3 linked regions of the Ovis aries genome follow. Each later gene encodes a partner of the first gene's protein in a complex. Links are inferred from orthologs where the notes say so. Each region holds a gene or a part of one and is shown in the gene's direction. Other genes may lie near its edges. The genes, in order: ELMO1, RHOG and DOCK5.

The links.
Region 2: the proteins of ELMO1 (region 1) and RHOG are in contact, whole or in part, in a crystal structure (PDB 7Y4A), measured with the Homo sapiens proteins. The link is inferred for Ovis aries from reciprocal best matches to the Homo sapiens genes ELMO1 and RHOG. Residues at the interface, in NP_001193409.1 of Homo sapiens: Lys9, Val10, Ala11, Glu13, Tyr18, Pro19, Leu21, Met22, Ala54, Asn71, Gly72, Ile74; in NP_001656.2 of Homo sapiens: Val36, Phe37, Asp38, Trp56, Tyr64, Arg66, Leu67, Leu70, Ser71, Pro73, Gln74.
Region 3: the proteins of ELMO1 (region 1) and DOCK5 are in contact, whole or in part, in a cryo-EM structure (PDB 8JHK), measured with the Homo sapiens proteins. The link is inferred for Ovis aries from reciprocal best matches to the Homo sapiens genes ELMO1 and DOCK5. Residues at the interface, in NP_001193409.1 of Homo sapiens: Ile7, Val8, Lys9, Ala11, Tyr18, Pro19, Leu21, Glu23, Glu36, Asp39, Gly40, Ser42, Asn71, Gly72, Gln392, Asp393, Leu400, Glu401, Lys468, Arg531, Glu535, Leu536, Lys539, Leu547, Gln550, Gln551, Asn554, Arg555, Asn582, Thr688; in NP_079216.4 of Homo sapiens: Met1, Ala2, Arg3, Trp4, Val14, Ala15, Ile16, Tyr17, Asn18, Ser22, Gln23, Gln30, Ile31, Gly32, Asp33, Thr34, Glu39, Tyr41, Gly43, Trp44, Arg46, Tyr48, Lys56, Ile58, Pro60, Glu61, Thr62, Tyr63, His65, Leu66.

The regions. Positions count from the first base shown.
Region 1 is NC_056057.1:62,040,918-62,043,527, forward strand, and holds the end of ELMO1 (engulfment and cell motility protein 1), read left to right. Parts: intron 1-696; coding exon 697-897; 3' UTR 898-2,095; downstream 2,096-2,610. UniProt on the Homo sapiens protein: Involved in cytoskeletal rearrangements required for phagocytosis of apoptotic cells and cell motility. Acts in association with DOCK1 and CRK. Was initially proposed to be required in complex with DOCK1 to activate Rac Rho small GTPases.
Region 2 is NC_056068.1:49,994,183-49,998,505, forward strand, and holds the start of RHOG (rho-related GTP-binding protein RhoG), read left to right. Parts: upstream 1-1,518; 5' UTR 1,519-2,128; exon of another isoform or gene 2,129-2,146; intron 2,147-4,323.
Region 3 is NC_056055.1:40,236,115-40,239,763, reverse strand, and holds part of DOCK5 (dedicator of cytokinesis protein 5), read left to right. Parts: intron 1-2,915; coding exon 2,916-3,084; intron 3,085-3,649. UniProt on the Homo sapiens protein: Guanine nucleotide exchange factor (GEF) for Rho and Rac. GEF proteins activate small GTPases by exchanging bound GDP for free GTP. Along with DOCK1, mediates CRK/CRKL regulation of epithelial and endothelial cell spreading and migration on type IV collagen.

The DNA.
Region 1 (2,610 bases):
TAGAAACCAGAAACCCAGGCAGAAGAGGTCCATAGACTGGCAGCTAAGCCACCTTCCATTAAAATCACCCAATAATTTTAGTCATTTTGTCCACCAGACCTTGGGCAGCACTGAGCTATTCCTAAATCTTTTGCTAAGAAATACAAAGGTGGGACCACCGTTAGCCCCAGGTTGGGGTTCGACTATCGTTTTGAGTGCAGAAATCAAACAGGATAGTCAGATATTAACTCTAGATTAGAACTTTGCTCGGAGTCAGGAGAGTTTGATCTGATGTCGAGTCCAGGAGTGTTAGGATATATTCTACCAATACCTTTAACTCTTTGATTCAGTGGTGGGATGTTAGAGATAGTCTGTTGCACAGGCAGAAAAAACTCAAATCCTCCTGCTGCTGTGTAGGGAGGCATTATTTATATGGAAGAGTGCAGACAATAGAGGCAGATTGCATAAGTTCAAATCCCACCTACTCCACGTACTGCCAAGTGACTTAATTTCTCACTGTCTCAGTTCCCTCATCTGTAAAACAGAGATGCTAACAGAAGTGTCAGCTTCATAGAGGTGCTGACTATCAAATGATGATGTAGGCAAAGCCCTTAGCACAGAGCCCAGCCCTTGCTGAGTGATCAGTCGGTGTTAGCTGTTGTTACTCCTCTCGCCGTTGTCATCAGTCGTTCTCATTGTCACCTTCTTTCTCCCCAGTACTGCATCTGGACAGATGGGCTGAATGCGCTGCTGGGGAAGGACATGATGAGTGACCTGACACGGAATGACTTGGACACGCTGCTCAGCATGGAAATCAAGCTCCGCCTCCTGGACCTGGAAAACATTCAGATCCCCGACGCGCCTCCACCCATCCCCAAGGAGCCCAGCAACTATGACTTCGTCTATGACTGTAATTGAAGCACCCTGGGCCCAGATGCACCCCCTCCAAAACTGGAAGATTTAGCTAATAGGAGAGAAGAATGAAAAGGCGCCCACACCGTGGAATCCGCTGTGGTCAAGGGACGCTGTGGGTCCACACTTCCTTTGGCCTTGCCTCCTCTAACTCTGGCATTTTTCTGCCCCTCCGTGGCATCCTGCTCACCACCCCGATTCTGTTTCTAGACTCCATTGCTTTAGGTCACCTCCCGTCGCTGCAGTCGAAGGTGGGAGAAAAGCAAAATCCACCACCAATGAGAGAGCCAAAGGGCCCTTCCATCTTCATTCCAGCAGGCAAGTCCTCCCCTCCTAGAGGCTCCAAGCCAGCAGCCCAGACCTCCTCCCAATCTGCAGCCAGACACAGGGGTGTGCCTCAAGCTCTGGGTCTGGAAGAACCGGAAACGATCTAGCTACTTGAGAAGACAAACACCACTCCTCGTTCCCCTTCTCTCTAGGGTCTGCTCACACCACCAGTTCCATGTGAATTGAAATCTGCTTCTAAATGCCCCCCCTCCCCCATTCTGGCCTCTGCCTGCCCACTTCCTCTCTGGTCCCAAGAGCAGCAGCAGTTGCCTCATCCTAGTTCTCGCAAACGTTGGGTCACCAGACACAATCTGAGGGTCCCGTGGCCACATCACGTCTGCCCTGTGACTGTGACCACCCTTTCTGTCTCTCCGCTAGTCTTGGGTTTCTTCTCCCTGCCCCAGCCCTGACCTGCCTTCTTCATTGCCACATACTCCTCCAGCCCCTTAGCTGAAAGCACAATGCTGAAATCAGTCGTCCTGCTTTATCTCTAATGTACTAAATCTAAAAGCCTCGATGATAGGCAGTTGCTTTGTAAGGGTCTGGGAGGTTCTGCTGCAACACAGGTTCCACAAGATGGTCAAACTGTCAGACATCCAAGTTTACATCATTGTAGTTATTACAGGTATTGACAATTTGCAAACGGTTTGGGTTGTTGGTTTTGGGGGTTGGTGGTTTGTTTTTTTTTTTGCTTTGTTTTTGTATAAAAGAGTCTAACATTTTTTGCCAAACAGATATATATTTAATGAAAAGAAGAATACATAAATGTGTGTACTTTCCAGGTTTTTTTGTTTAATTATTTGAGTCCTAAACATCTTCCTGAGAATAACATTCCTCTAAACATGCTGTGGAATAAAATTAATTGTGATGAGTTGGAGAGCTGATGTTTTGATTTGGTAATTTAGGTTCTGCTGCTCAGTCATCAGCATCACTGAGAGCTTGTTGAAACTGCAGAATCTAAACCTCACCCCAACCTTGAAGAATCAGGTGATGCTCATGCATATTAAAGGCTGAGAACCACTGCCTTTGGGGACTCTTGACCTTTGCTGGAGGCTCTGAGCATCAGTAAAGAATGATCCTTCTAAGAAGACCATCTCAAGTCAGCTAGAGAATCAGACCTACTTCATAAAAATATAATGTAGGGACTTCCCTGGTGGTCTAGTGGTTAAGACTGCGCTTCCACTTCAGGGGCACGGGTTTGATCCCTGGCCAAGGAACTAAGATCTCACATGCTGTATAGTGATCATATTAAATACTTTTTAAAAAACAGATATTTAAAAAAATTAAAAATATGTATTTATAATCTATTCATTTTACACTGTTACCTCCTGACTGACTTTATCTTTTATTTTTTTCTTCCTTACCATTATATAATTTATAAAACTGTCCAAA
Region 2 (4,323 bases), on another chromosome or scaffold:
GGGACTGAACGGGTGTCCCCTGCAATGGAAGGGTGGAGTCCTAACTACTGAACTGCCAGGGAATTCCTTCTTTTTACTTTAAAAAAAATGTCAGCACTAGAAAATTTTAAGTTACATATGTGGCTCACATTTCGACTAGACAGCACTGGGAGAGACTACCAAGTGCAAGCCAGAGGTGGCGTGTGTGTGTGTGTGTGTGTGTGTGTGTCTCGTTGGAGGCAGTGATCCATTGTGAAAGGCTGAGTCTATTTCGCCAGGCAGTCAATACAGAAGTTAGGTGGAAGGAATAGAATGCACAAAGACCCAAAGATATGGGCAGGCACGTTGTGTTTTGGGAACTCATTCTTACATTAACACGATTTTTAAAAAGAGGAAAAGAAGCATTTGGAGTGTTTACTGTGAGCCAGCCACTGGCAGCAGGCCTTTTACATCCATTCTCATCTTCACAACTGCAGGATGAAGGGGATGTCATTCTAAATTGCCAAAGATAGAATGGAGGCTCAGAAAAGTTGAACAGTTTATTCTAAGAGTTGTTCTTCCTCTTTCTCTGGAAAGCCTCTTGGAGACAAGGAGCCTTTCGTTAACGTCTCTGTTTTCCTCCACAGCACCTAGCACGCAGCCCTCCACGTGGTAGGCACTCAGAAAGTTTGTGTTGGACGAAGAATATTTTCTCAAGTCAGAGCTCCACGCGCAAGGCCTAAGAGCAGAAGCACCAGAGGGCGCCCACGAGTCCGCCCACCCGCCCATCCCCAGGGCCCCGGCAGGATTCAGGACTGGGTGCGGTCCTTCTGTCCCAAGCAGTTGCGCGCCCCAGCGAGAAGAGGGGGCGAGGGGAGCCCCACGTCCTGGCCCCGCCCCGCTTCTTCGCCGGAGCCCAGGCGCGCGGAGCCGCCGGGTGCGGAACGACGACACGACATCCTGTTTTTGGGGCCCGCGGCTCCGCCTGCGCCTCTGCTGATCTTGTCTTTCCCCGGGTGCTGACGCCAGCTCCCCTTCCCCCAGTCTCCGCACCCTTCCCAGGGGTCTGGGGCCTTCCCACTGCTGAATCACCGCCACCCCGCGCTCCCCCGGGGCTCGGGGCAGGGGTGGGGACTGTCCCAGCCGGACCCATTCTGGCCAAATCCCAGCCTGGGCCATCGCTCGATCCCGGGGCTTGACTGAAGGCACCAGGCCTAGGGGCGCCCGTTCTCAGCATCTTCTCGCAGGGGTGGGTGGGGGCAAGATACGGTGAGAGGGGCACAAAATCCAAGCGCCTAGGCTAGGGCCTCTGCTGGGCTGCGGGTGGCAAGGAGACTGGGAGGACTGACCTTAGACGCCCTGACCTAAAGGGCCTCAGAGGTAAAGGGCTGGGGTGAGGGAGCCAGCACCCGGCCGGGGGCCAACCGGCTGGGGGCGACCTGGGGTGGGGGGGACCGGCCCGCGGACTTCCTGGTCGGGCCCCGCCCCGGCCCGGCCCGCTCCCGCGCCCCGCCCCGCCGGCGGGCCCGCCCCCCCCACTTCCTCCGGCCTCCCGCTCTCACTTCCTTCTCGAGCCCCGAGCCGCTGCCGCCGCCCCCAGCTCCCCCGCAGCGGGGAGGGCACCAGGTGAGGCCCGGCCCCGGCCGGCGGGCTGAGGGTCCGGGGGAAGGGAGCCCGGCCGGCCCGGGACTGGACGCGAGCGCAGGCCCGGGAAGTTTGGCTTCGGGAGGCCGCGGCGGGAGGTGCTCGGCTCGCTCCAAGTTGGGCGGGTGCGGCCGGCCGGGCGGGGCGGGGACGGGCACGGGCCACTGCGACCCGGCGACGGCTCCGGGAGGGTGGGGGTTCCTGTACCGATGGCGGCGATACCGGCCCCCGGGAGCCGCGAGGGACTCCTGAGGTCGGAGGGGCTCCCGCTCCGAGAGAAAAGTCTCTTGAGGGGAAGAGCTCAGAGCTGGGAGATGAGACTCAGAGATGGGGTGCCCCCAGGAGTTGCGGGAGGGCTGTTCTGAAGTGTGTTGAGGGGAAGGGGCCCCTGGGCTAGAGAACTCCTCTGGCAGTTGTGACACTTGTGAGGTAGAGAGAGAGGCTGTCTATTGCCTCTGAAGCCCTGGGCTGCGGAGAAGGAGCTCCTTCGCTGGAAGATCAAGGCCAGTCCAGACTGCAGCCCAAGGTCCTCTGTGCTCAGGAGGTGGGGGAACCCCGGTCGACCCTAGTGCTTCTCTCTGTGTGTCTCTGTCTGAAGCAAAACCTCTCCATCTCTGGAACGGAGAAACAAGTATTGTAGTGAGCAAACATCGGCTGTGCCTAGCTGGCCGATGCCTGCCACTGCTCATTGGCGGGGTAGACGGAGGAAGGAAAGGAACCAGGTCTTCCCCTGTTACAGAAGTGGAAGGGCTCTTACTCGGAGGTGCTGATCATCCTTAGCGAGAGGGCCTCACTGAGAGCAGGACTGTTTTTTAGGAGATGGAGAGAATAGGGCTTCTGGGAGGCCACAAAGACTCTAGCCTTGGAAAATGATGAGCCATCTCCTAGTCTTCCCTCTCCCCCATTGTTAGTCCCTGAATTCTACATGTTATTCTGTCTTCCTCCATTCCTTCTTCAGACTCTACCCGCGAACCCTTTGTCACCCTCTTCTCGTATCCTCTTCAGTTGCTTTTTCCCCAAACACACAGTCATGCCTGGCCCCTGACCTCTCCCCTGCCCTGCTTCTCTGTCCATCCTTGTCCTCTCCCTGTGGCCTCCCTGCTCCCTTCCTTGCCCAGCTTCTGGCTCCGCACACATATCCACCCTCTTGATTCTTCCATCTGCCCTCACTGTGATGGATCCCTGTCTTCTTCCCTTTCAGTAATGAATCTCCCGCTTTGGGGAACTGGACCACCCTAGTTCAATGAGGTGGGCTGCAGCCTCCCCTTGATAAAAGTGATGAAGGGTTTGGAAAACCTGTAGATGTGTATGTGCGTGCAAGTGTCTACATGTACATATCTTTATCTTTTGGAGACAAAATAACTGCCCTCAGCCTTGAGAGGGCCCAGAGCAGGGGAAGCCAGCAGAATGAAGGGAACCTGCATTGGGTGAGGTTGTGGTTAGGTAGGAGGAAGCAGTCTGTAGCATTCGGAGTATCAGGGTAGAGTGACACAATATTGAATAGGACTGGTGAGAGAGGCCGTGGGAAATCAAAATCTCCCAGACCCTTAGGTGCTTGGTCAAGAGGCCAGGCCTGGAGCCTGGGGGACAGCCTAAAAGTCCCTGACTCCATTGCTCACTTGTTCCAGCACCTCCTGGTGGGGAGAAGGGGACCAGGTCAGCTAGGTGTGATGGAAGGAAAGTACAGGGTTCAAGAGGGAAGACTATGGCTGGTTTAACTTCAATCTTAAATGTCTTAGTTCCAGTTCAGGAAAAAAAGAGGGGTATGAGGCAAAGGTGTCTGCCTGCTCTTTCCTGCTGCTTTCAGGGCCTGCCCAGGCCAGATTCCACGTGCCCTGGGCTGCATCAAAGCCTTGGTGACCAGGAAGCTCTCTAGAGTTCTGCTTACCCCTCTTCCTCAGGCATCCTTAATATTCCCCCTCTCACCTAAGAGCTTATTCCCTCTCTTTTGGGAGTTTCTTCCAAGTCTAACTGAAATCCAGCCTGGCTCTTTGTAAGCCTTGCTGTCTCCATTCTAGAGCCTTTGGGATGCATGCTGAGAGATCATGCTTCCCTCTCTTCTCAGGCCTACTCTGTTCATTTCTCTCCACTAGAAGAGAAGTGGAGGAGAGCAAGTGCTACTTTTGTGGGATTCCCAAGCACAGCTAGGTTTAAGGGCCATTCCTGTACCCCATTATGTCTCCTTCCCTTCTCACAGTTGTCTGTTCCCATGATTGTTTCCTACTGACATTCTGGGAGGTATAGAGTTTTGGCCCCAGCAGGAAGTCCCAAGGACCTGCATAAAAATCCCAGCTCAAGGGAAGACATATATGCAAGGAATTTCCCAGCATCAAGGCTCAGTTAAAAAACCACCCAGGAGTCCTGACTTCCCACCTACCAAACCAGTACTTATTTTAGATAACTGAGCAACCGACAGGATTCTAAGAGAAAAGATAGGATGGATGAAACAGGGGTTCTCCCAGACAAGACCTGGCCCCACTGAAGATTTGAGCTAATTGCATGAAAGTCACCACCGGAAAAATATAACCAAGGTGCAGGGAATCTAAGTGGGGAAATATTTTGCAGAGGGTGGAGGTGAGGAATATGTACCTGCTGTAGGAGGCTGCCATTGAGGTCTTGGCTAAAAAAACTATGGTCAGGGTCTCTTGACATGAAGAGAAGTGACTCAGGTCAAGATCCTGGTTGAGAATCTAGGATACGGAGAGTTGTTTCTGGCAAGAT
Region 3 (3,649 bases), on another chromosome or scaffold:
ATTTTGTGACCTACTGCTTAATTTTATATAAATGATGAATACTTAACATCACTGTGAATTTTAATGTTGACTCTAAGTTAAATCTTTTGACTTAAAACTTAATTTATAATCTTTTAATTTCATGCTATAATAGCCATACCACAAAAATAACCTGTTCAAATGGTCTTCTACCTGGAAATTAAATGTTTTTTATTTCTTAAATTATTTATCCATCCTTTTACATTGACATAGTTATCTTTACATAGGTGCAGATTAGCACATGGATAGAGTTTGGTAATTTGCTTTTTCCTCTTTGTCTTTTTATTATAAGCACTATTCATGCTGCTATATAATTTTTTTTCATCATTTTTGATGGCTGTTTATCACTGTAGCATATGAATGTGCCATAATGAGTTCTTCTCCCTATAATGGGACGTTTTAGCTGTGTCACTCTAAACAGATAATCATAAAAGTTCATTATAAATTTAATATAAAAGCATTTAGGTTGTATCAATATAAAATGCATTTATATTATTAGTAGCATGTATTTGTGTATATTTAGCTTTACGCTCACTTAAGATATATTCTCATATCATTTCTAAGCCTTTTGGTTAACATGGAGTATAGGATGTACTTCCAAAAGCATGTATGACCTATTCAGGAGAGGTTTTTTTTTTTTTTTTAATTTTTATTGGAGAATAGTTAATTTACAATGCTGTATTAGTTTCAGGTGGACAACAAAGTGATTCAATTTTACATATACATGAATTCAGTCTTTTTTAGATTCTTTCTAATTCTTACTGTATTATCACAAATACTAATATGCAATGCCATATGAAATATATGAGTGGCTATATCATTTTTCATAATATATTCACTTACATTAGGTATTGATTATTTTTAATCTTGTAAATTCCTAAAGATTAAACAATACCTGGTTTGCTTTTCTCTTTTATGGTTTCCGTCATGCTGTTAAAGAGATAATACTTACTTTGTGGAAGGGCTTTCCTGGTGGCTCAGATGGTAAAGAATCTGTATGCAGTGTGGGAGACCTGGGTTCAATCCCTGGGTTGGGAATATCTCCTGGAGAAGGGCATGAAAATCCATTCCAGTATTCTTGCCTGGAGAATCCCCATGGAAAGAGGAACCTGGAGGGCTACAGTCCATGGGGTCACAAAGAGTCATGTAGAAGTTCTGTTCTCTTCACTAAGACTCTTTTCTTAATTGAACTCTGGCCCATTAAAAAAAATTTTTTTTTCAAGTAGCTGTTGAGAACCAGAGACCCCCTAATTGCTATCCATTAGGGCAGTAAACAGAGCAGATGACTGGGGTCCTCTTCTTGCTGTGACCCCAGGCAAGGTGGGTTATTGCTCTTGCCCGCATTTGCCCAATGAATAAGAAGACATCATTGAACTTCCCTGTCAGTCCAGAGGTTAAGACTCTGTGCCTCCAATACAGCGGATGTGGGTTTGATCCCTGGTCAGAGAACTAGATCTCACATGCTACACAGGGTGGCCAAAAAAAAATTTTTTTTAATTAAAACAATGCTTACTATTTTCCCCTTTATAACTTTATATTTTTTCCCTTTATAAATATGCAGTTTAGGGAGAGATATTTCAAAATATCTCTAGACTCTCTTGTTTCTCATCAAATTCTTCCCCTCTGTATGTTAGCATCTAATCATGATTCTTACTATGGCATTTAAAATTTGTCAGTGTAATTAAAAAAAATTTTTTTTGAGCAGTTCTCCTATATGCTGGGGCTTCCCAGGTGGCACAGTGGTAAAGAATCAAAAAAGACAAAAAAGACACAGAGTCGACCTCTGGGTCGGGAAGATCCCCTGGAGAAGGAAATGGCAAAACCACTCCAGTTTCTTGCCTGGGAAATTCCATGGACAGAGGAGCCTGGTGGGCTACAGTCCATGGGGTCACCAGGAGTTGGACATTCTGAGCATGCATGCACCTATTTGCTAGGTACTGTTGTAACTATTTTGTAATAACCCTTTGAAAATGAAAGAAGTATTAGTTGCTCAGTTGTGTCTGACCCTTTGAGACCCCATGGACTGTAGCCCACCAGGCTTCTCTGTCCATGGCATTCTCTAGGCAGGAATACTGGAGTGGGTTAGCCATTGCCTTCTCTAGGGGATCTTCCCAACGCAGGGGTCAAACCTGTGTCTCCCACTCTGCAGGCAGATTCTTTACTGTCTAAGCCACCAGGGAAGCCCTAATAACCTTATGAGATAGATATTATTATTATCCCCATTTTTACAGATAAGGAAACTGAGGTATGAAAAAATTATCTGCCCAAGATCACCCAGCAAGTAAATGTAGGTAAGATTTGAATGCAGGCTGTAGGGCTCCAGGACTTGTGCTCTTATCCACTATATAATGCTGCCTGTTCATCTTTTACTCCCTTTACTTATAAGTTTAGGTAAGATCTTATCTTCCTAGCATAAGATAAATATTCACTAGTATGTTCTTGACGTGCTTGGATGGCCTCATTTCTGTACTTAGACCTTGAGATGTTCATTTGGCAGTTGGAAGTTGGATTTAGAACCTGAGAAGGAAGCCACAGGTTAAAGTGCTGTTGAAAAGTCGTATCCTCTGGTTTTTGGGCATCAGTTTTCACTATCAGGTGATCAGTATTTTCTGACTTTGTCCTTGTTTGTAGCTGACAGTTCAGTCTTTTGTTTTGCTTTGTTTTTTTACATGTAGTTGATTTATAATGTTGTGTTAATTTCTACTGTATTGCAAAGTGACTTGGTTATACATCATATATATTCTTTTTCATAGTCTTTTCCATCATGGTTTATCACAGGATACTGAATAGAGTTTCCTGTGCTGTAAAACAGGACCTTGTTGTTTATCCAGCCTCTTTTACTAGTTTGCATCCACTCATGCCAGCCTCCCAATCCTTTCCTCCCCAATCCCTGATAGGTCCGTCCTGGAGCCACTATTGGAGCGCAGGGCCTCGTCAGGGGCCAGAGTGGAAGATCTGTCCCTCAAGGAGGAGAGCGAGACTCGGATGAGCAAGTTCAAGATTAAAGACTGGAGTCTGAGCAAGTCCCAGGCCACCACAGAGAAAGTGCCAGAACCTGATCTGATGGTAAAAACAAAAAACCCAAAACAAGATGACTGTAAGTTTTCCGCCATGTCCCCTGTAGGCAGGCTTTTCACCATTGACATCATAACTGTGAGTGACTAGGCTGAAGCCTGTCATGCTGTCTCAGGACACAGCAGCCTGGGGATGGGCTCAGATCTCAGATGGTGCTAAGAAAACCAGGTACAGAGATCTAACTTTCTAAATCAATAACGACACAAGATCTACCCTCAGTGAAAATATGTGGATTGACGCTTAGGGTTGTGGTTCTCCCCACCATGTTCCATGAGCCCATCCAAACATTGTCATTTCCCTTCTTTTAGTTTAAAAAAAAAAAAAAAGTACTTTTTCTTCCATAAGCCACATCATGTTGTTAAATGTGGTGGGACCAGATATCCCTGAGAATCAGGGTGGCTCATCTCCAAACTAAATGACGCAGCCCATTGGCTAGTCAGAAGATAGTCTGTGGACCAGGGATTCCCTATTTGTGTCTTCACCCTCGTACCTTCCACGTTCTAGTGCGGTAAATGTACAGAGGGCTCCTGGAATTTTGCCCCTTAACAAGATTCTG